7 linked regions of the Ovis aries genome follow. The protein of the gene in region 7 interacts with the protein of the main gene of each other region in a pairwise test. Links are inferred from orthologs where the notes say so. Each region holds a gene or a part of one and is shown on either strand. Other genes may lie near its edges. The genes, in order: transducin-like enhancer protein 1, GDF9, COPS6, LRIF1, CCDC90B, APLP1 and TK1.

Evidence for each region.
Region 1: the proteins of TK1 (region 7) and transducin-like enhancer protein 1 interact in a two-hybrid assay, tested with the Homo sapiens proteins (2 studies listed by BioGRID and IntAct). The link is inferred for Ovis aries from reciprocal best matches to the Homo sapiens genes TK1 and TLE1.
Region 2: the proteins of TK1 (region 7) and GDF9 interact in a two-hybrid assay, tested with the Homo sapiens proteins (2 studies listed by BioGRID and IntAct). The link is inferred for Ovis aries from reciprocal best matches to the Homo sapiens genes TK1 and GDF9.
Region 3: the proteins of TK1 (region 7) and COPS6 interact in a two-hybrid assay, tested with the Homo sapiens proteins (2 studies listed by BioGRID and IntAct). The link is inferred for Ovis aries from reciprocal best matches to the Homo sapiens genes TK1 and COPS6.
Region 4: the proteins of TK1 (region 7) and LRIF1 interact in a two-hybrid assay, tested with the Homo sapiens proteins (2 studies listed by BioGRID and IntAct). The link is inferred for Ovis aries from reciprocal best matches to the Homo sapiens genes TK1 and LRIF1.
Region 5: the proteins of TK1 (region 7) and CCDC90B interact in a two-hybrid assay, tested with the Homo sapiens proteins (2 studies listed by BioGRID and IntAct). The link is inferred for Ovis aries from reciprocal best matches to the Homo sapiens genes TK1 and CCDC90B.
Region 6: the proteins of TK1 (region 7) and APLP1 interact in a two-hybrid assay, tested with the Homo sapiens proteins (2 studies listed by BioGRID and IntAct). The link is inferred for Ovis aries from reciprocal best matches to the Homo sapiens genes TK1 and APLP1.

Annotation. Positions count from the first base shown.
Region 1 is NC_056055.1:55,331,953-55,334,709, forward strand, and holds part of transducin-like enhancer protein 1, read left to right. Parts: intron 1-1,396; coding exon 1,397-1,544; intron 1,545-2,757. UniProt on the Homo sapiens protein: Transcriptional corepressor that binds to a number of transcription factors. Inhibits NF-kappa-B-regulated gene expression. Inhibits the transcriptional activation mediated by FOXA2, and by CTNNB1 and TCF family members in Wnt signaling.
Region 2 is NC_056058.1:42,113,805-42,117,895, forward strand, and holds GDF9 (growth/differentiation factor 9 precursor), read right to left. Parts: upstream 2,801-4,091; coding exon 2,404-2,800; intron 1,286-2,403; coding exon 321-1,285; 3' UTR 74-320; downstream 1-73. UniProt on the Homo sapiens protein: Required for ovarian folliculogenesis. Promotes primordial follicle development. Stimulates granulosa cell proliferation. Promotes cell transition from G0/G1 to S and G2/M phases, through an increase of CCND1 and CCNE1 expression, and RB1 phosphorylation.
Region 3 is NC_056077.1:36,794,581-36,798,787, forward strand, and holds the start of COPS6 (COP9 signalosome complex subunit 6), read right to left. Parts: upstream 2,801-4,207; 5' UTR 2,788-2,800; coding exon 2,721-2,787; intron 2,507-2,720; coding exon 2,381-2,506; intron 1,976-2,380; coding exon 1,844-1,975; intron 1,517-1,843; coding exon 1,428-1,516; intron 1,330-1,427; coding exon 1,267-1,329; intron 969-1,266; coding exon 921-968; intron 845-920; coding exon 730-844; intron 644-729; coding exon 551-643; intron 456-550; coding exon 355-455; intron 215-354; coding exon 74-214; 3' UTR 1-73. UniProt on the Homo sapiens protein: Component of the COP9 signalosome complex (CSN), a complex involved in various cellular and developmental processes.
Region 4 is NC_056054.1:88,340,050-88,344,170, forward strand, and holds the start of LRIF1 (ligand-dependent nuclear receptor-interacting factor 1), read right to left. Parts: upstream 2,801-4,121; 5' UTR 2,357-2,800; coding exon 2,289-2,356; intron 1-2,288. UniProt on the Homo sapiens protein: Together with SMCHD1, involved in chromosome X inactivation in females by promoting the compaction of heterochromatin.
Region 5 is NC_056074.1:11,965,025-11,969,142, reverse strand, and holds the start of CCDC90B (coiled-coil domain-containing protein 90B, mitochondrial), read right to left. Parts: upstream 2,801-4,118; 5' UTR 2,746-2,800; coding exon 2,664-2,745; exon of another isoform or gene 1-2,663.
Region 6 is NC_056067.1:45,877,628-45,881,127, forward strand, and holds part of APLP1 (amyloid beta precursor like protein 1), read left to right. Parts: coding exon 1-172; intron 173-627; coding exon 628-758; intron 759-1,131; coding exon 1,132-1,206; intron 1,207-2,081; coding exon 2,082-2,240; intron 2,241-2,323; coding exon 2,324-2,452; intron 2,453-3,500. UniProt on the Homo sapiens protein: May play a role in postsynaptic function. The C-terminal gamma-secretase processed fragment, ALID1, activates transcription activation through APBB1 (Fe65) binding. Couples to JIP signal transduction through C-terminal binding.
Region 7 is NC_056064.1:53,319,805-53,323,387, reverse strand, and holds the end of TK1 (thymidine kinase, cytosolic), read right to left. Parts: intron 2,126-3,583; coding exon 2,036-2,125; intron 1,742-2,035; coding exon 1,622-1,741; intron 1,441-1,621; coding exon 1,237-1,440; 3' UTR 501-1,236; downstream 1-500. UniProt on the Homo sapiens protein: Cell-cycle-regulated enzyme of importance in nucleotide metabolism. Catalyzes the first enzymatic step in the salvage pathway converting thymidine into thymidine monophosphate.

The sequences.
Region 1 (2,757 bases), on a different chromosome or scaffold from region 7:
GCAGCAGTGGAGCTCACATCCTCTCCTCCATGCCCTTTACATTCCAAGCACAGCTTTAAAGTGTGAAGCTCTGTGGGAATAGTAAGTTAACAGGAAGAAGAGGCAGTGGAAACTTTGCTCTGAGTGTTGAGTTCCCAAGCAGTTCTCTCATGGATTCTGCCTGGTTTGCCATTGTGATCGAGCCTTGGAATACCTCTCTCCTATTCTAGTCACTCCCCTGCCTGCTCCCTCTTGGTCTGCAAAACCAGGCCCATGACCCCCCACACCATCAGCCCTGTGGTGGGTTACATCACCCTCCCTTCAGCAAGCCCCACCTGAGGCCTGGCAGAACATCTGTGCTCAGCAAACCCCTGTTGGTTGGTCATTCTTGGTGGTGATTCATTGTGTGTGTGTGTGTGTGTGTGTGTATGTGTTTTAAGTATAGTTGATTTATACTGTTGTGCTAATTTCTGCTGTACAGAAATACATATATACATTCTTTTTCTATATTCTTTTCCATTATGGTTTATCTCAGAAGATTAGATGAAGTTCCCTGTGCTACAGAGTATGACCTTGTTGTTTATTCACTCTAAATGTAACATTTTCATCTACTAACCCCAAACTCCCAGTCCATCCCTCTCCCTCCACCCCATCCTATCCTTGGCAATCACAAGTGTGTTCTCTGGGTCTTTGGTGGTGGTTATTACTGAGGCACGAGATTCCCCTTCAAAAGAACAAAGGCCTTGTGCTGGGATTCCAGGAGGACCATGCCCAGGGGTCAGTCAGCAATCAGCTCCCTCTGCCCTGTGCGTCTGAGTCAGGAGGCTGGCATGCCCCTTTGTCTCCAGGAGTCCAGATTTCCTAACGCAGGGCTTTTTCTAATAGAGAACGAGAGGTTGAGTCAATACATGAGCTCATGCTTTGCTGGCACGAAGGGCATCTTGGTGTTACTCACTCATGGAAATGGGTGTGCTCCTGGGCCCCGAGTCCGTGATGTGGTGATACAGGCCTTTGCGGTTACAGGCAAGGCCTGCCTCTTTCTGTAAGGAATACACTTGGGATTCTGTGTTTGTCTTTTTTTTTCCCCTTTTCACACTTAAACACTTTTCCAGACCTGGGAGGAATTTCACCTTCCAGCAGATTTGTAAGAATAGCTCTTGGAGCGTATTTAACTTCTCCTGTGTGGTGACCTAAAACAGCATTCCATTTCTTCAGCACTTGGATCATGAAAAAAGGAAAAGAAAATCTGCAGGTGCCGTTTCCTCTCCTCCTCGAGGGAAGAAGGTTGGTTTGATCTTGCACATCAGCAGACACTGAGGAGATGACACACGCCCGGCGAGTCCAAAACTAACAACACAACAGTGTTTACCTTGAGCTCTGGCAGGAAATCATTATTCAATCTGGTTTGTTTTATCAGGCAATTCCAGGGCCACACGGACGGGGCCAGCTGTATTGACATTTCTAACGATGGCACCAAGCTCTGGACGGGCGGCTTGGACAACACAGTCCGGTCCTGGGACCTGCGCGAGGGGCGGCAGCTGCAGCAGCACGACTTCACCTCCCAGGTGCGCGCTCGGCCCTCCCCGGGACCCACACGGTGCTCCGTGTGTGGCGCCCTCCCCAACCCTCGCCCCCAGGAGAGTGGGATCTAGACAAACAGACCGGACTTTTCATCTGAGACACACACACACACACACACACACACACACAGACACACACACACACACACACCCACCCAAATCACCCTGAAACACTTAGGCTGGCTTTTAAAATGCTGTAGGTTAAGACTTGTTAGTTGTTTTGTTTATCGGTGAATTCATTGCAGGAATTTGTGCCGTGAAGAACGTACAGGGTCTGATGTGTTGTCCATCTCCTCACCATCTGATGTAGGGGTGAGAGATGATTTGATTCTCATATAAATAGACCTTTAAAAATATGCAGGGATGTCACAAGTAGTAGAGAAAAATCACAACAGCTCTACAAGTTAATTCATTTCACTTACATCAGGGAGCTTAAAAAATACAGTGGTATCTCAGTGGATGCCTGTTTTATTAGTCATCCCTTAGAAACTGGAGTCATGGCTGACTAGATTTATGGAGTTTTGGAATGATGGGAAAATGGCAACTTTGATTGTGCGTTGTGGAGATTATTTAGATGTCAAGTGTCTGAATCTAGGCCTGTTTGGGGAAAGACAGTGCGCGCCATGTTAAGTGTTTTCTGATGGTGGAATTGTTTTGTTTTGTCATGACTTATTTACTTTTTATTTTGGAAATAAAAATAATTCGACTCAGAAAAATAGGACAGAAATGGAAAGCAACTAGACATTCAACTAAATTTCATGTCCCTGTCAAAATTTTGTTGAGTTCCTTATAGTCTTCCCTGTTCCTTTCCAGCCCTGTTTCCATTATGGTTAGGATTCTATTTTCGGTCTGCCTTTTTTTATATTAAAAAAAAAACTTCTTATGAAAAATTTCAAATATATATGAGAACAGAGAATGTTCAAGCATATATGAAAGCACAGAGAATTATATGATAAACTCCATATGCCCATCACCCAACTTCAGTTCCTAACACATAATCCTTCTCATCTGTCGTCCCTGCCCCCAAACACTGGATTATGTTTATTAAAGTAAATCCCAGACATTGTATCATTTCATCCATAAGTATTTCAGTTAGTATCTATAAAAGACAGGCTTTCAAGAATCCACGTGCAATACAGGAGACGTGGAGTTCGATCCCTGGGTCATTAAGATACCCTGGAGGAGGAAATGGCAACCC
Region 2 (4,091 bases), on a different chromosome or scaffold from region 7:
ATGCTAATTAAGTTTTAAAATTTTCTTACATCAAAAAGAAGACTCCTACAAAAAGGAAAAAAGAATCACTTGGGAAAAAATTCAAAGTTCTCCAAAAGAAATACATTTCATTTAAACATTTGGCCATGAGGAAGGCAGCTGTTATCCCTTACATTGACAGATGCCACAGAATATGCTAATCTATACAGGCTCCTCCTTACACAACACACAGTGTCGTACAGTCAGAGATTTGACACATGAAACTTCCTCCCAAAGGCATAGACAGGGGCGCGGCATTTACACTGGCCAGGACACTCATGGTTTTACTTGACAGGAGTCTGTTAACGACAGGTACACTTAGTGGCTATCATATCTTCATATTCTTTATAAGCGATTGAGCCATCAGGCTCGATGGCCAAAACACTCAAAGGGCTATACTTGGCAGGTACACAGGATGGTCTTGGCACTGAGGAGTCAAGTTTCTCATGGATGATGTTCTGCACCATGGTGTGAACCGGAGAGCCATACCGATGTCCGACCGCCCTGGGACAGTCCCCTTTACAGTATCGAGGGTTGTATTTGTGTGGGGCCACAATCCAGTTGTCCCACTTCAGCTGACTAAAGCTAAGTCTAAAGTCATGGAGCTCACATTCATTCTGGGGAAAAAGAAACTGTTTGAAGTATTCACTCAGATTGACTGAAGCTGGAACCAGAGGCTTCTTCAATTCAGAGCTGGCACTCTCCTGGTCTCTGCGGTGACGGGACGATCTTACACCCTCAGCAGCTTCTTCTCCCACGGGGTAGGCAGATAGCCCTCTCTTCTGGTCAGGACCCTGTGAAGGCTTCCTTTTAGGGTGGAGGGAATGCCACCTGTGAAAAGCCTGAGCACTTGTGTCGTTCAGATACAAAAGCAGTGAGGGCGCTACGAGAAGAGTCATGTTAAACAGGCTGTCCCGCGCTGAAGGATGCTGCAGCTGGTCTTCCGCACATGTAAAATTTACAGACATGTGAATATTCCTCTTGTGGGAGGCCACCAGAGGCTCAAGAGGAGCCGTCACATCAATCTCCATCCATTTGTATTTCTTTCTAAATTCAAACTGTGAGTTATAGGTAAATGAGTATGGAGCTCTAGGGAGAGTCTTGCTAGAAAACTCTGGCTCTTTTATCACCAGGTTGCATATACATTTAACAGGAAAGGGAAAAGAAATGGAGTTGTTGAAAGTATATAGCAAGACTGACTTGAATAAATGTTCCACAACAGTAACACGATCCAGGTTAAACAGCAGATCCACTGATGGAAAGGTTCCTGAGAAGAAAAACAATCCAACAGTAATGCCATATGTAACAGGAAGTCAAATCAAGGAATCAGTACCTCAGAATGTGCTTCTGTCCCTTTTCTCCCCACATTCTCAAGCCTTAAACGTCAGGGTGGGATAGGGGTTATAAAGAAAAAGCAAGTTATCTGTACCATATCTAAGTCCCAGCACTTACTGCTGGATCACCAGAAATTCAGAATAGCTTTGGTGGGGAATTAAAAGAGGGAATCATTATATTTTGAAGTTTTAGAATCTTATTAAGTTGCTGCAAACAAAGAGAAAGCTAAAAAGGAAAGCAGTATTTTTCTCTTGGAAAGTCTTTAAGAGGAAAACTATCAAAAGACACTTGCCAGGCTTGTTAAGAAAACATTCTAAGTTCTTACCGGCAGAATCAATAAAGAAAAAGTACTTCTCTAAGTTAATTTGGAACACTTGAGACTGACAACAAATGGAAGCTCTAAACCCACTGTAACAAAACAGGACGTCAAGGAAGGAGAAAGGGTTTAAGATAGCCACAAATGACCTGCTGGGTTAGAAGGGTTTTCTGTAAGTCACGAGCTAATGAATATAATTTTTTTTTTCTTTTTTAAATAGCACTGCTCCCATCTCTCTCACACACACAAGATTGTTAACACATTGTCCTTGTAGGGTGATCTACTGTTCCACATAAGGACTTCAGTTTTCCTCTCACAGAAAGCAACAAACGTGGGGAAAACATCCTGTTTACTAAAGCACACTAACAGCTGAAAGAGGTACTGTAGGTTCATGTCCAGGCCAACATTGGTAGACTAGAAAGAATATGCAACGAAGTCAAAATACCTTTTTTTACAGTCTTGATTTTGTGACCCTGGACAAGATGCTAACCTCCAGCAGCACTCTTTCCAGGTTTTAAGGCCATTAAATCTCTTCTAGCAAGAGATTTAGCCTACATCAACCCATGAGGCCATTAGGAATAAACAGTAAGATCAAGCACCAGGTTTGTTTGGATATTGAGTACCATGCAAAGTAAAATGCAAGTCAAGGAGCAGGGCCAACTCCTTTATGTAACTGAAATGCAAAAAGGTCTTTCTTCTTCCCTCCACCCATTAACCAATCTGCTCCTACACACCTGCCGCCAGGTCCCCAGGAGCCTGCTTGTGCTGAGCACAGGGGGTGAAGAGCCGAACAGTGTTGTAGAGGTGGCGTCTGTTGGATTTAGGGGTCCCCTCCTTGGTAGCGTATGCCTTATAGAGCCTCTTCATGTAGCGCAAAGCTCTGTCATCTGGCTGCAGCCTGGGGGGTTCCCCGTGCCCATCATACAGAACCTCTAAGAGAGGGGAAAGGAGACCAGGTCTGTGTCTCCCACCTAAATGGTTCAGCAAGGACCAAGTCTCAGCCTCAGATTCCAACGCAGTCCTAGCTACAATCTGAGCTTCTCCCCTAGAAGGCAGAGAATCAAGGCTAATAGGAAAACAGAGCCAGGCAAAGCAGCAAAACCAAAGGAAGAATTTGTTGGGAAGCGCCATGGCTTGGAAGAATTAGCAAGGAACACATTTCCCCATACCAGTCTTCTTCCTAAAAACCAGGAAGAGCCTCGGTTGGTCTCTTAAATAAACTTTAGGTGTGTGGGTGGGCTAGGTTCAATTCTGTAATCAGACCTTAAGGATGCTTAGCTGTGGATAATTTTTATCAGCTGACAACACCCTATTCATTCAGTTTGTCCTAATTAGATTCAGATTTACTTGGCCATATAGTTTTCCTTTTCCTTTCCCCTGGCATTTATTTAAAATCTCTTAACTTAATGGACTAGCTATGTAGCTGAAAGGCTACAAGGAGTGATCTTTAAAAAAAAAAGCGGCCGATTTCTTGAGAGAGATTAGGATTTTTAAAATGTTCCCTAGATGCTTGCTGAAACTTCGAAGGCATGGGGAACAGCTAATGATTCATGATGATACCCAGATCTGTTTGTATGCAACTTATGGTATTGGGTTTACTCTTCTCCCTGGATCTGTACCACTTCTCCCACTTCCAGGTGCTTAGAATATTTATTTACTGCATGCTGATTTGGAGGGTGAGAGAAATTCACAACTGAAATTGAGATTCCAGAGAGCAGAGAACTGCTATTTTGCCTAGTTCTCGCAGCCTTTTAAGGATATGTACTTGGAATACTGCAATATGCTTTAAAAAGGAGGACATCACATTTAATCTTGACTCACTTTAAAGTATAATATCTTGGTGCCTTTATTTGGGTCTGCTCATTCATCTATGCATACTTTAATTGAAAGGTTTAAAGACGTTTTCAGGTGCTAGAAAATAAATGAAAGATTTGCTTTTTATTAATCACTCAAATGGTGGGAGAATTTGCTAGGTATTTTTGTTCTTACCTGTATAAGTATTTATGTTCTTGCCTCTGAGCTAAGATCAGGTTAAAGATTATGTTTCAGATAAATGAGACATGGGTACACTAAGAAGAGCTGAATATACTTACCGTGATACAGAACCAGTCTGTGCAGTACCCAGGCTGATAAAACCGAGGTATACTGGTAAATTTTAAGTTCATTGTCTGCCAAGCCTCCCTGGCTCGGATCTGCCAAGGAGGGTTATAAAACACACCCAAACTGCTGAATGAAAACTTAGTCCTAGATTACACATGGCCAGCAATTCCATGAAAAAAACATTTACAGACACGTTGCATCAAGTGGAAAAGTCAGTCAGCTGTACAGGACAGCAGTATCCTTAAGAAGAAAGCACTTTCCGAAAATGGAATCGCCTCACACGCAACGTTCCTGCCTTCCTCCTGGGCAGTGAACAGTGGGC
Region 3 (4,207 bases), on a different chromosome or scaffold from region 7:
TCAAGGGAGTGTAGCACCCCTCCCCTTGACAGCTGTCTGACCCCTGTACGTCAGCCCTTCAAGTACCCTTTCGTCAGAAAAAGAGCCCCCGCATCCGCCTGCCGATGCCTTGTCGGTCATAGAGGACGTTGAACTTGTTCACGAACTGGTTCATGGTGTTGCACGTCTTGGTGATAGTGCCAAGGTAGGCCATGAGCCCCACATCATTGCATTGCTGTGAGGGGACAGAAAAAAAACAAAGTTTCCCAGGAGCTCTGGGTCCCCCACCATGTGACCAGGGAACAGGAGCCGGTCATATCCTGCATGCAGAAGACAGCAGGAGCCCCACCTCCCCATCCTGAGCCTTGCACTCACATCGTAGAAGTCTGTCTTGAACTTGTCTGTGCTGAGTACCGGGAGGCAGTGACACAGAGCGTAGGCCTCCCGCAGGATCTCATGGTTAAAGGGGACCTCGCCTGAAGGCACAAGAAGCTGCATCAATGCGGATGCTGTCACTTCCCCAGGAGGGAGAGCAAACGTGCTTCAGGGACCAGGGAGATAACTGTCCTACCTGCCTCAGAGGCCTTGACGTACTCCAAGATGAGCTTGACGCGGCTGTGCAGCATCTTGATGGCGCTGTGCTGTGCGATGAGGTGTTCAGCCACTGGGGGGGTGGTCAGGCTGAAGTTGAGAAGGTGTGTGGCCACACCTTCCCCCCACTTCTAAGGAAGCCCCTGCAGCCACCCTTACCAGTGGAGTTCTCTCCACTGCCTGTTGCTGTCATTCGGGCCACGTGGTCCACCCCAATGCGTTCTGCTTCCTCTGTGGCCAGAGTGTAGGTCAGCTCAGCAAACAGCATGGTGGCCTATGGGACACACAGAGTCAAAAGCAGCAGACCCCAGGGGCAGGCTGTGTGGGTTGAAGGGTAGGGCATTACCTACCTCTCCATTGATTATATCTATGACTGACTCAAAAACGCTGACCGGAAGCTGTGAAGAAGAGAGAGCACAGCTCTTAACTAAACATCAGACACCTGAACCTACACTAAGCACCAAAACCGGACTGGGCCCTTTTCACATTACATTTCCTCAGCTAATCTTCCCAAGGACCTACTGAAGTGGAACTCATTCCCATTTTCACATGCGGGGAAAATGCAGTTTAAAGGTTAAATGACAAGTCTCACAGATGGTAAACTGCAAAAAGATTCAACAGAGATGTCATACAATAAAAGCAGGGGCAGAGCGACAGGCAGGCAGGACAAAGTGGGCACGGGGTCACTGTACTCACATCTGTGTGCTTGGTCATAGGGTTCAACTTAAGAAACAGAGGGCTCTCAATTATCTCGCACACCTGGAAGAAGGGAGGATGCACATGTGTGTCAGGGTCCATCTTCCTTCCCCTCATTCTCTCGTCTCCACCCCAATATGTACCTGTGTGAACGTGTATACCTGCTTATGGACGTGGATGTCGGAGGGGTCAGGTGGCCCACCTGTGGTGTACCAACCCAGAAACTCCAGCTCCTTGAATACCTGTTTAACTGGAGAGAAAGGGGCCAGGACACACAGTATATCTTTAAATCATCCTTCAATTTGAAACTCCTGGTGTGTTTTTACCAGCTTCTCCCCTTCCCATCCTGGCTCCACGTAGAACAACTAATCTATTCTGTCTTTTCTCACTCCTTGCTTTCTTTGCGAGGAATAACCCATATGTGTTCTTTTTCTAAGGTCTCTTCAGCTACTCTCTCTTCATTATTCCTCTACTCTGGTCCTATTTCTCTGTTTATTTTTTCCCCAACCCTCTCCATCTTCCCCATTCTTTTCTCCCCTACTCCCACTCTTCTCCCCCACGTCTATTCCCCTCTCACACTGCTCCTCCTTGGTGTAATAATATTCCTTGTCAATGATAATCTTCTCTTCCACGGTGTGGGACAGCAGTTCAAAGGAGTTCATCACCTCAATATTTCGGCCCTCCTGCTTCCCGATCAGAGCCCCAATAACTGGAGGAGAAAAGGACACAGAAGAGGTGAGGGTGAGGACTCCTCCAGGACTTCCCTGGTGGCTCAGATGGTACAGAATCCGCCTGCAATGCAGGAGACCTGGGTTCAATCCCTGGGTAAGGAAGATTCCCCTGGAGAAGGGAATGGCAACCCACTCCAGCATTCTTGCCTGGAGAATTCCAAGGACAGAGGAGCCTGGTGGGCTACAGTCCATGGAGTCACAAAGACTGAGCGACTAACACTAAAGGAATCCTCAAACTTCTCTAATAATAGCCTGAGGGTCTGAGGTCACGTGAACCAAGTACTAGAGAAATGATTTGCGGAGGAGGAACTAGCTTCAGCAAAGGAAGGAGAAAGGACCACTATTTGAGGGGAGGAGGCTGGAGAATGACGCCGAACACTCACCCTGCATAGGCCGCCCCTCCTGCGAGCGCATGCGAATCCAATGGTCTGAGATGTTGAGAATGACGAGGGGATGAAGAGCGACTGAAACGCTGCCAGTCACTCCGGAGGCCATCACGCTGGGGACGACTAAGGAGGGGAAAGAGGGGGTGAGAGTCCAGGCCCCACGTTCCTCCCGGGAGCCGGGAACGGGAGACGGCAAAGTCGGGCCATCCATCCCTCCCGCAAGTTAACCCAGGGAGCTCGCTGCCGGCTCGCCATCCCGACTGCTCCCGGGACTCTAGGAAGGCCTCGACAGGCCCGCCAGGAAGTCTCCAGAAGCCGCCCCCGCACGGCCCGTTACCTGCAGCATCCACCTCCATCCCGCTGCTCCCTCCAGTCCCGTTCGCCGCTGCCGCCGTCGCCGCCATTTCCCCCGCGCCCGCCAGCGTCGGCCCCGCCCCCTCCCTCCCGGCTTCCGTAGGCAGCGGCGCATGCGCGTTGTCGCCGAGGCGCACGCCTGCCCGCACCCTGGGCCACTCCGGGCCGTTCCTACTTGGCCTTGCGGGGAAGACTCGGGCCTTGCGGGGAAGGCCCGGGGCAGGGAGATCCGGCTGGTGTTTGTAGCCCCTTTTCGCCTGCAACTGACCGTGAACAAATTACCTAACCCCACCCTGATCGTCCTCGTCAGTAAAACTGGGATAAGGCCGCTTAGTTCCTAAGACTGTTGCAGAATGAATGGAACGTCATTTTGCCGCGCTCGGAATAAAACCGAAATCCCTAATCACGGCCTGCAGAGCCCTGCAAGATTCGGGCCCTGCCTGACCAGCTGGCCATGGGCTCTACTTTGCTGCTCCTTGGTTCCCCTGCTTCAGCCACACTGGCCCTCACGTCTGCTCCTTTCACACGCCTCACTCACGCCCACCTGAGGGCCCTCTGTCACCTTCATCACTGTAACACCGATGACCAAATCCGTGCCTGACACAGGGGCACCTAAGTGACGTTTGAGTGAATGCTTTGCAGTGGAGCCTGGTCTTGAGTGACTCTGTCTACACGGCTTATCTTTCCTCTTTCTGTTAACACCCCCAGCGTTTTCTAACCCGTCCCAACTTCCCTCTACCTTCCATCTCCATCAATCTTACCAAACTTAACTTTGGCAAACCTGGCCAACTCCAGCCCTCTCCCCACCCCTGCACCCAAGCAAGTTGGGTACACTGCCTTTACCCCATCTCCCATCTCATTGCCCCTACAACCTAGCTGGCTCTTTCACTGTGTGTCTGCACCGTACCCAAAGTGTTACCTCACACAGGGCAGGTGTGAATTTGCTTCAGTCGTGTCCTACTCTTTGTGACCCCATGGATTATAGCCAACCAGGCTTCTCTGTCCATGGGATTTCCCAGGCAAGAATACTGGAGTGGGTTGTCATTTCCTTCTCCAAGTCATCTTCCCGACCCAGGGATTGAACCTGGGTCTTCTGCATTGCAGGCAGATTCTTTACCATCTGAAGCACAAGTGAAGCCCAGAGAACAGGTAGAGACCTTGATCTTGACCATATGAAGCGTACTGGTGCCCAGAACCAGCAGATCCCCGGAAATGTTTTTTGATGATAAGGGTGACTTCTGTTAAAGTCAATCCCTCTTAAAGCGCTCCTAACCACTGTTTTTAGTTTTATAGTTATCTGAACAATGTTTTGAAAGCATTTGAAACAACAAAAAGACAGGAATTCTGTAAAGATTGAAATAGCAATGCAAACTAGCAAATTTAACAGCAGAATAACCTTTTTTTCCCCCCTCAGCCTTCAGTCCAGCTAAGAAGCCTTATACTCCAGAGCAACTGCCTACTATTTAAAAG
Region 4 (4,121 bases), on a different chromosome or scaffold from region 7:
GAACATGAATCTAGGTCTCTGTAACTATCTTCTTTCTCCAACTCTACCAAGGTCTTTGTACCTCAACTGTACCATTCTGACTCCAGCTTTGCTCTTTACATATACAGTCCAAATCTAAATAAACTTAATGCCTACTATCACAGATATCTTCCAGATTTCTCCTTTGTACTATAAGATTAAATTTGGGTTTTACATTTTATACCCTGCTGAATTAGAGAGATACTTTTAAAGCAATCAACATTCTGTATCACATTACTGAAAGCTTTTACAGCAGGAAAGAGGTAACTCAAGAAAAATGCAAGTATCCATAGAAAATAAGAAAATCATATAACCATTTTAAGCTTATAAAAATGATTTTACAATAAAAATATTATCAGATATATAAGACCATGAAGCTTCCAAAAAACTAAAGAGCTGACATTAATCCACGTATTTACAAAAGTATCTTTGAATGTCCTGCAGATTAATTATAAAACAACAGAATCAAATATGCAAACAGTAACCAAAATAAATGTCAAAGAGCTTCAGAAAGGCATCTGGCAAATGTCCCAAATACGTGATTTAAAACCTCAAGGATTTGAAGAAAAATGCATTCAAAGATGATAAAAATAACGCCTAAACCAGCGAGTTAATTAACTCCAAACAATTGATAAATGTAGAAAACATAATTCAATTTGCAATGTTTTAAAATATAGCCAAAAGTAGAAACAGGATAATAAAGTACACAATAAACAAAAAGTAAGGTTCTTACTCTAATTTCCGGTATTTAAAAAGAATGAAACCCTAAAACAAATTGTATTAAACTAGGATAAATCAAACGTTAGCAAATATACAGGTATTGAAACAAGATAGAAGAAATCAGCAACCATTAAAGACTAGCTCCATTTTTGCGTATCCATACAAGGCACTATCTGACTTTCCTCTCAACTTCCACCAAAAATAAACCAACAAAAAACGTACATGCACAAAAGCTGGCTCTTGTTCTGACCTGAAATACAATGGCTCCTTCTTGGCAGTTTTCAGTGCAGTTTTAGGTAATCACTTTTGATGACCATTTCATTTTAGATTATTAAGCATGCTTTTTAAAAGTGTTTATCACAATCAGGTTTCATATCTACTCATAACTACCTACTTCCTGGGCTAAAATTTTTACAGAAGTAAAATCGTATCCTTAAAATTATAATAGCTAACATTTAAACAACGCTTTTCTATTTTTACTGCACTAAGTATTTTAGTATATTCATTCTTTTAATCCTTAAAATACCTCTGGGTGTTCTTACTTACAGACTGGAAACCAAGTCACGGCCTCACAAATAGTAACTAGCAAATCAAGGATTAAACGTAGTGATACTGGTTTTCTTCAAACATAAATGCTCTTCCATGATTTTTACATCTCCATTTCTATGATTTCTTCTTCACATTTTCTTCTACAAGGACTCAACCTTTTTTCTCACCACTTATTAGATACTCACAAACCATGGATAGTTTAACTTAAAATATTCTACCTTAGCTTACAATTTTGTTCGTTTTATTTCATCTTGAATAATGTTTAAAAAAAATGAGTTAGTGATACACTATTGCCTAAATTTACAAACAAGTGTCTAAGAAGTACAGCAATCTACCTCTGACAAATGTAGTTCCTCTACATACACATCCAATTCGAGATGGCATTCTCATTATACCTTCTTCAAATATGCTGTTCCAAAGGATTTTACATGATAATTCCTCTTTCATTTTTTAATATCTTCAAATAAAGCTATCATTTGAACAAATTTAAAAAAATTGATTCCCTTATTCTAAAACAACTTTTCAGTTTCTATATTATCAATTACCAAAAACAACAACAACCTTTCCTTCCCACAAACTCTTACATTACAGATATTTTCCCTGACGATCCAGCGCCACCTGTGCTGCATTTGCTAATTCGCTCTCATTGCTGCGTGTTTTTCTGCGAGTGCGCGAGAATCTTCCAGAAGGTTTTGGTCATACAGGCGCGCCGGCCATGTTGATTTTCCTCTCCCATGGAGATCTACTCTGTCAGCCTATGAAATTCAGACGATGGAGTCCTGCGGCGCCAGGGCAGAGGCTGACTGCGTCAGACTCTGAAGGGGGACGTGCGCTAAGAGCTCTAAGCGCCAAACTGCCGCGCACTTTCCCTGGAATGCTCACACAGAGGGATCAAAGGCGTCTGAATTGCAGAACGTCAGGAAACGACGGCTGACTCGACATCCTGCTAAGAGACAGGAGAGGGGCCGCCGGGTCGAGGGAGATTAGAAACCGGTACTTACCAATGCGAGGCGTTGCCTGACTTTTCCTCTGTAGGTTTCAAGAAGACCTTCTGTGGGTTATTGGACATTTTATAGGGTTGGGAGGGGCCAATACATCCAGGAAAGGGGGCAGTGTCGGGGCCGAGGTCCTCCAAGGGAAGAGAACGAGAGCGAGAGCGAGAGCGAGAGAATGTTGGGCTGGAGTTGTCCCGGAGCACAGAGGGGTTCGAAGCTGAAAGGAGAGAGACGGCAGGCTCTCTAGAGGGCGTATCCTCAGGCTCCGGAGGGAGGCGGCGTAGCCACCAAAAACCGGAAGAGTAGAAGAGACTGAAGGGGCGGTTCCGTCTCTAGCCTCTCAGAGAAGGGTCTCGAGTCTCCACCCACTCAGCGCCAGGGACTTCGCTCCAGAGCCGCCCGGAGTCAGCGCTGGAGGCGTGGCCTTAGTGGCACCGCCCCTATGGATGCCGGGTCAGCCGTGAACAACCGAGCCAGCAGGGCCCGACCGACCCCGCCCACCAAAGCCGCCAGCTAGCAAAGCTCAGCCTGCCAGCTTCCGCTATCGTCACATCCGGTCACCAAGATGACTGGCTCGCTAGCGCCCCGCCCTTATACTGCGATCCAATCAAAGGTGCTGTCTGCCATCTCTTCTTCCGGATCAAGGAACGAATCGCAGAAGAAAATTCTCCAGATGCCTACGCAAAATAAAATGTTTCCGGGGCAATCGCAAATTTCCTCCCTTTGTATTTGCCGCTGGTCTGTTTTCTTTTCCGCCCGTGCTTTAAAAGACATTGGAGGGCTCTTTCGGAGTCATATGAACTTACGGAGTGAGAAAATTTTAAGACACCTGCCTGTGGCAAGCGTCTGTTTTATTGCTACTTCCTGAGGGTTTCTCGGGTTTTATTCTCTTACTTAAAGGTTTGCCTCGAGACTTAAATCTACGCTCTCCCTCCACCCCTTAATACTCGCTGGAAATAACACTGTCATATAGTTTCTTCATTCCCTAAAAGTTTCGTTTCTTGTATTGAGTTACTTTTTGGCATCTTTACCTGAATCTCCAGAGAAATACTTGGCAGATGTCTCTTGATTACTGTTGTTAAGTCTCTTATCTGAGAAACGGGTTGAGTCTTTGGCTTCAGCTGGGACTAGGACGAAGTTGTGGGAGGAGTGGTTTAAAAGATCTAGTTTTATTAGCTACCAGCAGTAAACATGTAAACAGGCTCATACTGTTCAAATTTAGGAGACTAATGTATGGTAGCTAAGTTAAAGGTTTATTTTGGTCTTTTAGAAATGCTGGTTAGTCATTCTCCTAACTCGTTAATGAAATGATGAAAGATCTTGACGTCTCGATTATCATAGAGTAATACTTTTAAACTACTATTCACTCTTTGGTAAAGATTAATTTTGACGATATCGAATCCTGTGTGTGTGAGTGGTATTTATCTTTCAGCCAAATATTCCCATACTAAAGAGGAGGCAGAGAGTTGAGCCCTTTTTACTATCTTGGTTTTGATCTTTATCTTCCTCCTGTCTGTGAGACTTCCCTGGTGGCTCAGACGGTAAAGCGTCTGTCCGCAATGCGGGAGACCTGGGTTCAATTCCTGGGTTGCGAAGGTCCCCTGGAGAAGGAAATGACAATCCACTCCAGCACTCTCGCCTGGAAAATCCCATGGACGGAGGAGCCTGATAGGCTACATCCCATGGGGTCGCAAAGAGTCGGACACGACTGAGTGACTTCACTTCCTGTCTGTGAAAGCAAAATTACTTAAATGAGTTGCTCATTCTTGGCTTGTTTCATTTTTCTCACCACTCATTTCTTAACTTTTGCGTTTCTTAACTTCTCATATCCATCAGTAC
Region 5 (4,118 bases), on a different chromosome or scaffold from region 7:
AAAAAGAATTTTTAAACAAAAAAAGAGAGATTATATACAAAACGGAATATTACTCAGCCATAAAAAAGTGTGAAATAATGCCATCTGCAGCAACGTGGATGGACCTAGAGACTATCATACTAAATGAAGTAAGCCAGAGAAAGACAACTATCATATGCTATCACCCACATGCAGCATCTAATAAATGATACAGACAAACGTGCTTACAAAACAGAAACAGGCTCACAGACATGGAATAGAAACTTAAGGGGAATGAGTGTGAGAAGGGATAAATTAAGGGTTTGGCAGCAGATACAAATTGCTATGTATAAAATCAAATCAACTAGGTTTCAATAAGAATTTTCAAAACAGAAATAAAGTATAATGGTAAAGAATCTGAAAAAGAACATATAGTATAGATGTGTATATATATAACACCACACTGGAAACTAACACAACCTTGTAAATCAACTATACTTGAATTAAATTTAAAAATTAAAAAATATTACTAACTTTAGAGTTGCAACACTTCAGTAACATAGCTGATCATTAATATATATTTTTACATGCTGGTCTGTTGACATATGCTTTTCTAGTTCCATCAAGACAATCAGGATTAATATATTAAATAATAAACCAACACAAGATCTATGTGACTGACTTCTCAGGGACAACCAAAAAATCTGTTTTTAGAAGCTCAGTGTTTTTGATGTTTTGCTAAGTAAGAGAAATAGTAATGAACTAGGAAACCAGCACCAGTGGTCACAAAACTTCCACAACATCTTCCTGTGCCTTATTTTATCTTTTAAACAGTAATTCAATTAGATGAAAACTAAGATCCTTCCCTGAGTCAGAGGTCAAGGTTTTCAAATTCCTTGAATACTGACTTGAGGCAAGCTTAAACTACTTGAACATAGTAAACATTCAATAAATATTTGTTTAGTAATGAGGGACCCAAATTATATTAGCTCTGAAAGTTTACAAAAAATTGAGACTGGGGTGATTTCCCAGGGTTCAAAAAACATCCGTTTTGTACATCATAATGTGTATGTATGCTAAACTCCATGGGGTCTCAAAAGAGTTAGACATGACTGAGCGACTAAATACACACACAAACCTAATACCTTTGTTCAGTCGCTCAGTCCTGTCCGACTTTTTGCAGCCCAGTGGACTGCAGCAGGCCAGACTTCCCTGTCCTTCACCATCTCTGCAGCTTGCTCAGACTTATGTCCATTGTGTCAGTGATGCCATCCAACCAGCTCATCCTAAGTACAAATACCGTGCCAAGGACCCTGGGCACTAAACAGCAGTCTTAGAGATGGGGGGGGGCGGCGCGGGGAGGCGGTCAATAACTGCAGTCTTGCTGTGTGACTAAAATGAAACGAGCAAAACAGCTCAAAGTTGTGGTGCTGGACATCTCAGTTCCCCTGCACTTAAGATTTAAGGTGAATAGAGAACGTTGAGGTTAGTACGAAGTAACTACTCTGCAGACAACCCCAAAGGGTTTAAAAATTGTGGGGAAAAGATTCTGGAAACGACTCTCAATAAATTCAGTTGTCCAGCACACACTGGTGACAGGCGCACCTGCCCGTCAACCACTGTAGCTTCCCGTGATCACGTTCCTTTTTCTTGAAAGGCGATTGCCAAGTACTGAAAACCACAGCGTAAATAAAGCGTTTGTTGTTCAGTCGCTCAGTCGAGTCCGACTCATTGCGACCCTACAGGCTGCAGCATGCCAGGCTTCCCTGTCCTTCACCGTCTTTTGGAGTTTGCTCCCGAGTACCGAAAAATATGGTTTTTCCAGTGGTCATGTATGGATGTCAGAGTTGGACTGTGAAGAAAGCTGAGCGCCGAAGAATTGATGCTTTTGAACTGTGGTGTTGGAGAAGACTCCTGAGAGTCCCTTGGACTGCAAGGAGATCCAACCAGTCCATTCTAGAGGACATCAGCCCTGGGTGTTCCTTGGAAGGAATGATGCTAAAGCTGAATCTCCAGTACTTTGGCCACCTCATGCGAAGAGTTGACTCATTGGAAAAGACTCTGATGCTGGGAGGGATTGGGGGCAAGAGGAGAAGGGGACGACAGAGGATGAGATGGCTGGATGGCATCACTTGACTCGATGGACGTGAGTCTGAGTGATCTCCGGGAGTTGGTGATGGACAGGGAGGCATGGCGTGCTGCGATTCATGGGGTCGCAGAGAGTCGGACACGACTGAGCGACTGAACTGAACCGAACCGAAAACTACAGCGAAAATAGAGCGGACCTGAAGTGAAACGGGCGCTGTAGATTACCAAATGACCTGGGCTCGAGGTAGGCACCCGAGTAACACAGTCTAAGTTTGAACAAACCGCGAAAGGTGACGGCCCTCTCCGGGCACAAACTACACGCCTGCGAGGGGGCGGGGACGACCAGCCTCCCTTGACAGAGAAGGGTTCAGAGGGACACCTGGCGGGGCTCGAGCGAAAGAGCCAGGCGGGAAGACAGGCCTTCGGAGGCTCGCGCTCCCGTTCTCGGCCCTCGCGCCTCCCGCCTCAACCCCTCGGGGCGAGGCTCGGCAGCAGGGTTGCCAGGCCCCGGAGCGGGCTGGAGGGAGGCGGCGGCACCCTCGCCTTCCTCTCGCCCAAGCCGGCACCACCTCCCCACAGCGAACAAAGGCATCGGGCGACACGGTGCCTCTCCTCACCTCTCCGCAGGGTCGGCGAAAAACGCCCACAGGGGCTCAAAACCTCAGAATACAGGAGCGGCCGAACCCAGCGGCCCCACATTTCACGGGTTTTCCAGCCGGAGGCAGCCGGGTGAGAAGACGGGGCGAATCCCGCTCAGCCTTTCGGGCAACGTAGTTCTGGCGCCAAGAGGATGCCGGGAAATGTAGTTTTCGGCCCGTAACACCTCCAACGCGCTTCCCAGCACAGGCTCGCACCGCGCGCAGTCTCGCGAAGTTGGGCCTCTCCACAGACGGACCCGTAGCTCACCAGCATGGTTTACAGCGGCTCCGCTTCTCTCACCGCCCCACCCCAACCAGTGCACGCCGTTACCGCCCTAAGAAGTGGAATCTTGTTTGAGAACCTTCCGACGCCCGTTCCCTGGCAATGAGATGTACAGCTAAACGGCCGTCTCCCGCCAGAGAGCCAGCGGCCATCACTTCTTTGGGTTAGGGAACGACAGAGTAACGTCCAACCCCGCGGCAACCTGGGACGTGCAGGCCTTGGCCGCTGAGCATGCCGGGAGTTGCGCAGAGCGCTTCTGGGAAGTGTAGTCCCCCCGAGGCTCTCGTTTCTAATTTCTTGCTGCTGCAAAGCTTGCCGCTTCGCCCTCTAGTGTACGGGAAGAAGGGAAATTGAATTCTCTCGTTTCTTGGGACGACCTGATTTATATATCACCATTTTATCTCGCTCAGACCTCAGTTACTCCAGAGTTTTCCCCACATGGTAAAATGTTGAAAACAGCAGCACGCAGTAGTTGTGGGGTTCAGATGCGGGGATGTATTCTTTGTAAATTCTTCTCTGTTAGCTTAAACGGTGAAGAATCTGCCCGCAATGCGGGAGATCTGGGTTCAGTCCCTGGGTGGGGAAGATCCCCTGGAGGAGGGCATGGCAACCCACTCCAGTACTCTTGCCTGGAGAATCCCACGGACAGAGGAGCCTGGTGGGCTACGGCCCATGGGGTCGCGAAGAGTTGGACGGACACACTGAGCGACTAACACAACAACAAAGCGGTAAACAGTCGTCAGGTTTTAGCGGCTTAATTATTCTTACAAGAATGTAAAGTTACCACTCAGTCATCAGATTTGTTTTCAGAGCTTTGTGTCAGCCGCATGACAAGCACCGTTCTAAGCACTGAGACACATTAAAAGAACAGGAGTCCCTTCGCTGTACAACTGAAACTACGACGACATTGTTAACCGGCTATACCCCAATGCAAAATAAACAGTTTAAAGTAGGCGGGAAAAAAGAAAACATAATTCCTGACAGGGCTTTAACAGTGTATGGAGAGGAAATATAAGTGATTATTTAAAAATTGAAAAACAAAGAACAACCCCTCCTCAAAAAGAGTTTAATCTCACAGTTTAAAAAAATAAAATAGAACAGAAGGACATACCATTATTACCTGTTAAAGATTTTCTAAAAAATAATGATCA
Region 6 (3,500 bases), on a different chromosome or scaffold from region 7:
CGGTCCTGGCCCCCGGGAGGCAGAGTTGAGAGGGGTGATGACGAGGAAGAGGAGGAATCCTTCCTGCAGCCAGTAGATGATTACTTTGTGGAGCCCCCACGAGCTGAGGAAGAGGAGGACGACGACAGAGTCCCACCCTCAAGCTCCCAGACCCCTGCAGGGGTCAGCAAAGGTGAAGCCATCTCTAAACCCCACCCTCTCCACCCTAGAAGGAGGAGGATTTAAGAGAGCTTTGGTGTAGGGGCATTTGAGAAGGGACCTGCTGGGGAGAAGCCCTGTGGGGGGAAATGGGAGGGATGGGAATGGCTTTGGATAGAGTGGAGGTGAAAGGGCCACCCTGTGAGGAAGGCAAAGGGTAAGGGTGGTTTGGGAGTACCCAGGAGTGAAGGAGCCATTTGGTATGTCTGAAGGATTATTTGGTGGAAAGCTTGAAGGATAGTGTGATGGATTCCTAAACTTTGCAAGAACAGGTCCAATTCAGAACCAGATCTGTGATGCCAGGCAGCAGCTATGGTTGAAGTGAACACACAGGGGTCTCCACTGCGCTCTAGGAAATGCAGTTCTCTGGGAAGGGAAGCTGACCTGGAGCTGGGCTTCAGGCTGACTCCTGGATTCCCGGCCTTGCAGTGACTCCCACCCCGAGACCCACAGATGGTGTGGACGTGTACTTTGGCATGCCTGGAGAAATCAGTGAGCATGAAGGCTTCCTGAGGGCCAAGATGGATCTGGAGGAGCGCAGGATGCGCCAGATTAATGAGGTGATGGTACTGGGGGCCCCAGGATCCCCCATAACACAGAGCTCCCTAATTACCAGGAAATTGCTCAGGGACACATTGAGACTACCTCTCAAGGTTCCCGCAGCCTCCATCATCCCCCAGCCCTCCACCCACCCCTAAGATGACCAAGGATCCCCAAGCCACCTAGAGTCCCATTGAGACACCGCCAGATTCCATGGACACTCTGATGCGTGGTACTCTTCCACTTTAAATGCCTCCCGAATCCTCTCTCTCTTGGTGATCCAAGAGGCCGCGGGACTTAAGGGATCTGGAGACTCTGAAGAAGGATGGGATGTGGGGACTTAACTGGGTACAGCAGAGTGGCTTCTAGGATCCTGAAGCTCCCCTTTCCCAGGTGATGCGTGAGTGGGCCATGGCTGATAACCAGTCCAAGAACCTGCCTAAAGCCGACAGACAGGCCCTGAATGAGGTAGGACAGCCTCTAGAGTGTCCTGCTTTGGTACTTGGGCCTATCCACTACCTGGGGCGTAATGAGCTTCAGCCTGGCTCATGCTTTTTCTGGCCTCATTCAGTTTCACCCCTTCCTACTGATATGGGCTTCTCCTGGCCCCATCCCTACCCTTGGCTCCGCCTCTCTTGGCCTACATCCAATCTGACTTTGCTTTCCTCTTCTTCCTCCTCCCACTGGCCATATTTTACCCTCTCTTAACCTGATCCTAACCTCTGAGGGCTGGCTCTGGAGACCTCTCCCAAGCTGGGGCCCGCAGACACAGCCAAGTCCTTTTCAGCCTCTCTCTGATGCTCAGCCCTGGCCCCCCACCCCCGACTCTGGTCCTGCCCCTCTCATTTCACTTTTACCCAATCCCTCCTCAGTAGACCCAGCCTCATCACTCTCCCAGCCACCTGTCTCAGCCTCACCTTGGCACAGCCCTACCCTGTGTAGACCCAGCTCGGCTTAGCCCCATTCCCTGACTCCTGCTCCCGCTCCACTCAGGCTTATTTAGTTACAGCCTGTCTCCAGAGGGCCCTGCCCAGGCCCAAGCCCCACCTTTCCTGCAATACTTGGTCCCTTTCAGCTTCACAGGCTCTGTTCCTACACTCTTCCTACCCATACAGTGGGCTTCACCCGGGCTCCCAGTAGAGCTGGTTCTGCCCCTACTCTACCTGGCCCCTCCAGCCAGTCTCCTGTCTTCCAGTCCCACCCCAGTTCGACTCTGCCTAGGCCTGGATCCAGGGCATCCCACCCCACTTATGGTCCAATAGCCCTCCCTTTCCAGACTCCCTTTGACCTGGGTTTCATCCAGCTGGGCCTCTCACCTGACCCTGTGCCCACCCCGTCACCAGCACTTCCAGTCCATCCTGCAGACCCTGGAGGAGCAGGTGTCCGGCGAGCGACAGCGCCTGGTGGAGACCCACGCCACCCGAGTTATTGCCCTGATCAATGACCAGCGCCGGGCCGCCTTGGAAGGTTTCCTGGCGGCGCTGCAGGGGGATCCACCTCAGGTACGGGAGCCGTGGGGGGTGGGCGGAGGGTAGAGGGTGGAGAGGGCTGGGACGGGCCTGGGCAGCCTCCATCCCTTCCATAGCCGGAGCGGGTCCTGCTGGCCCTGCGGCGCTACCTGCGAGCTGAGCAGAAGGAGCAGAGGCACACACTGAGGCACTACCAGCACGTGGCTGCCGTGGACCCCGAGAAGGCCCAGCAGATGCGCTTCCAGGTGCTCAGCTCTTCCAGCTCCAAACGCTCTGCCATCCCTCGGACCTTGGTCTCTTGGACCCCATCCCTCAGATGCTTCTCTTGCCCCTCAGACCCTCTTTCTTTTTTAGCAATTCATTTATTCATCTATTTCTGTGGGGCTGAGCTGGGTCTTTGTTGCTGTGCAAGGGCTTTCTCTAGTTGTGGCAAGTGGGGGCTGCTCTTCCCCGTGGTGCTCGGGCGTCTCACGGCAGCGGTTTCTCTTGTTGTGGAGCATAGGCTCGAGGCGTGCGGGCTGCAGTAATTATAGCCCGGGGGTTCAGCAGTTGTGGTGCGCCAGCCCAGCTGCCTCAGGGCACGTGGGATCTTCCCAGACCAGGGATCGAACCTGTGTCCCCTGCATGGGCAGGCGGATTCTTAACCACTGGACTACCAGGAAGTCCCTCAGACCCTCTATCTGCCCCTTGGACCTCCTTCCTCTCCCTGGATCCCCCCTTCTGTGCCTGGGACCCATTCTAATCCCTCAGATCCTTAGTTGCTGACCCTGGAACACTGCCTCCACCACCCCCTGTGCCTCTGACCCCTTTCTTGTTCTTGAATTCCCACTTGCTGCCCTTTGGATTCTTATTTCCTGTCCTAGAATCCCCCTCCTGTGCCTGGAACCCTGTTCCTGTCCCTCAACGCTCCTTCTTCCCTAACTCCGCTTGTTTCTCCCTAAAACCCCTGTTTAGTGCCTTTAGATCCTAATTCTTATTTTTTGGATACTCTCTTCCTGTCCAAGAATACTGATTCCATACTCTTGAGCTCCAGGCCTTGCCCTTGAACCACATCATTTCTAACTTTTTATAATGAATTATATTTTTAAAATTATAACAAATTATAATTTATTTATTTTAAATTTTATTTATTTATTCATTTATTTTTAATTATAGCAAGTTATAATTTGTTTACATAGAAACTAATTATATTTATTTATTTTTAATTTTTGGTCACACCCTGTAGCACATGGGGTCTTAGTTTCCTAACCAAGGCTCAAACCCACATCTCCTGCCTTGGAAGGCACAGTTAAC
Region 7 (3,583 bases):
ACTGCACCTCTGTAACCTGCCACAAGCCAGTGAGAGGGAGAAGCTGGGGTAAGGGTGGGGAACTGGGGCCCCATCTGGAACACACAGCCCAGGCCCACCCCACCCTGGAGCACCCTCACCTTCCCATAAGCTGTCCACAGCCCGTTTCCCAAGGCACGGCAGAGCTGGTCTTCCTGGCTCCTGAACTGTCAAGTGTCTGTTTCACAAAATAAAACCTGACCTCACAGCCCCAGCTGGCAGCACAGACCAAGGCTTCATCTTTCCAACCAAGCCCCAGGCTCCTGCATCCACTCATCTTGACCTGAAACCCTCCCAGGCAGAAGAGCAGGCAAACATGCCTGTTAGAACACTTGATGCTCATATCTCAGTTAAAAAGATTTGTGGTTAAGGGGTCAGGAGTACTAGAAAAAGATTTGAAAGGAAATCCCCATACCTGAATCATGTCAGAGGTGTCTATAGTGAGACCCGGGGAATCCCAGACAGTTAAAAGAGAAATAGGCTTTTACCAACCAATAGATTTTAATATTAGTTATCAGTTCCACATACACACAGCCCCCACCTCCTTAGAAAACAAGCCCCTGGGAGCTGAGCCCCAGAGCAGGGTGAGTGTCACCCACATGGGAGAAGCTGTAATTCCGGAGAAAATGATCGCCAGATCAGGAAGGGCTTTCAGCCCCAAAGGAAATAAGAAGTCCAGCCATCCCCAGGGGCAGCCAGGAGCCCATCCCAGGCAGAGGGACCAAGTCTTTGCGTGGGAAGAGGCCCACGCTGAGCCAGAGGTGCTGGGATATGGACTTCCCAGTGAGAACAGAAACTCAACAGCAAACGCCACAAACGGGGAAGAAGCCGGCGACGCCGATGTCACAGCAGCTTGCGGCTTGGCCTCACCCCAAGAGGGATGGCTGCAGCGGCCAGACCCCGCCCCATAGGGCGGCCAGCTCCGGCTTGGGGAGACTGCGATCGCCCCGCAGCCGCCCCGCAGCCGGGATGGGAACTGAGAAAAGCTGGTGGGCAGGCAAGGAGGGAAGTGTGCAGTGCAGACCACCAGCCGCCTCCTTGGCCTGGGAAAGGGCGCAGCAGCAGGCCAACTGCTGGTGGTGAAACCTCTACCCGCCCCAACCCCGCCCCCCGCCACTTCCTCCTCCAAGAAGGCCCGGCATCCGCCAGGGGGCGACAGCGGGCGAGTGGGGGGAGCAGGTGGCGGGTGAGCGCCCGCCCCAGCGAGGGGCCAGTGCCTCAGTTGGCCTGGCTGCACTGCCGGATCTGATGAGTGGCAAACAGCTTCCGGACTCCCGCGGCCTCCGCGGGCTTTCCCAGTGTCATCGGGCAGTTCTCCTTATTTTCTTCGCTGTCCAGCACGGCGGGCTGACCCGAGGGCTTCTTGAAGTAGCACAGGCGGCACACAGAGTGGTACTTGTCTGCTCCTCCAATGACCTCGACCTGACGTGCGGTGCGACAGGAAGCGCCTGGACTGAGCGGGGCTGGGGCGCAGCGCCCCACCCCTCGCCTCTGGGAGAAGGCAGGGGGCGGCTACTTCCTTCTCCATACCCAGCCTCTAGGTGTAGGCGCCCCTCCCTGCCCCCCACCCGCCCATCCCTTGGAGAAGGCAGGGGGCAGCTACCTCCTTTTCCACGCCCAGCCTCTTGGTGTAGGCGGCCTCTCGGAAGCACTCCATGCACACCGCCGTCAGCTTGACCACGCTCTCTGCCAGGGGCACCAGGTTCAGGATGGTCCCAAAAGCCTGTACAATCCACAGAAAGAGGAGTGCACACTCATTTCGCCGGGTGGGCTTTTCCTGGAGACCCTGACTCACACCCCTGAAGCCAGGAAACTAAGCCTGGACCTTGCCTTTCCCCAGAGCACCTGCCCTAGGCAGGTGGAGTCAGGGGCACCCCAGGGAGCTGGGACTGGCTGGCCTGAGTGCCTGGGCTTAGGCATGGTGTGGGCATCAAGGGCGCCCTGGGCTGTCCATTTCTGTGCGCTGCCTGGGCCTCTGTCCCCGGTCCCACCCCAAGACCTGGACCAGACACTTCACCTTCCTCTGAAAGGTCCCATCCAGTGCAGCCACGATGACGGTCTTCCCTGAGTTGGCCATGTTCTCGCAGAACTCCACAATGTCAGGGAACTAGAGGAAAGGGTGAGAGGCGGAGGAGGGAGTGAGCTTCCGCCCTGGGCAGCCCCTTCCAGGAGCTGCAGACACGCTGCCAGGCCCAGGAGCTACAGCTACCTGCATCCACGTGGAGCTGAGAACAAGGCCGCGCCAGCCCTCCCATCTGGTACACGGCCTGCACATCCACAGCTTCCCGACTCACTCCCCCATCGCACCAACTTTCCACAGCAGAGCCAGGCTGCGCTCCAGGCTAGGCGCCTGGAACTGCCACCAGGGTGATGCAACCCAGGTGGAGAGGCCGTCTGCCACTGCAGTGGACCAAAGCTTGGATCCGCTGCCTCAGGCTTGAACCAGGTTCTCCGTTGGACCCATTAGCTGTGACCCTGGCAATGACTTCATGTTCCTGAGCCCAGGAAAAGGCAAGGAAGGCCCCTGGCGATGTTTAAGGATTAAGGACACGCAAATAATTTATTACATATGCTATCTGGCTGAGAGGCAGGCTCTGTGTGTTTGCTTTTATTTTTTTCTTCTTTTAAACATAATGTGCCGTGTGATGCCTGGAGAAGGGGCAGGAGTTCCACTGGCCACTTACAGAGCAGGATGGCTCAACACACCACCCGTGGGAAGTCCTTACTTGGTAAATCAAATTTCATTTCAAGTGGCCCAAGGGGCCACTACTTAAACAAATCCTTTGGTGACCTTTCACTGGTCAATCATCTATCTGGTCTGTGGGTTGGATGAAGTGGGGAGTTCCAGTGTTTGGGCAAAGGGTCTCTCTCCAAGCTACTCGTGGAGATGCGTAGTTACAAAACCCGAGGGCTCACCCAGACAAGGACCAGGACAGGGCTTAGAGAACCCAAACCAGTTCCAGCAGGATTCACCAAAGCCAGATCTGACTGGCCTCTGCAGGGTTTGCAGGGTTTGCAGGGTCTGCCGAGCCTGCACTATGGAAATGGCACCTCCCACCCCTAGGCTCCAGCCTGGCTCTAGGTGAGGCCCCTCCTTTTCTCTAAAGGACTTGTCACAGGTCACAGAAATGCAGCCGCTAGCCTGTAAGGACCTGTCGGCCAGTGCCCCGACCCGACCCCCATTGTCACAAACAAAACTGTTTCTAGACACTGCCAGAAATCCACGGGGAAGGTTGAGAGCAGAACCACCCTGGGAGGAGCACCTTCTTCATCTTACCTTCCCTGTCCAGACATGGTCCCTCCACACCAGGGTTTGGGGACCGCGAGGGGTCCTCCACCCTGCCTGCTACAGTGATGCCCGCGGTCAGAGAGCTCAGTTCTTCCACCTGAACTTTGCGCCCTGTTCACATGCCACCCCACTCTCTGCCCAAACACTGAACCCAGGGCCTGCAGCAGGGGTTCCTGAATGATCGAGGTACAGTCAGAGCTGCCCAGCAGGGGTTCCTGAATGATCCAAGGTACAGTCAGAGCTGCCCACGTTGTCTGCAACATCGCAGAAGGCCCA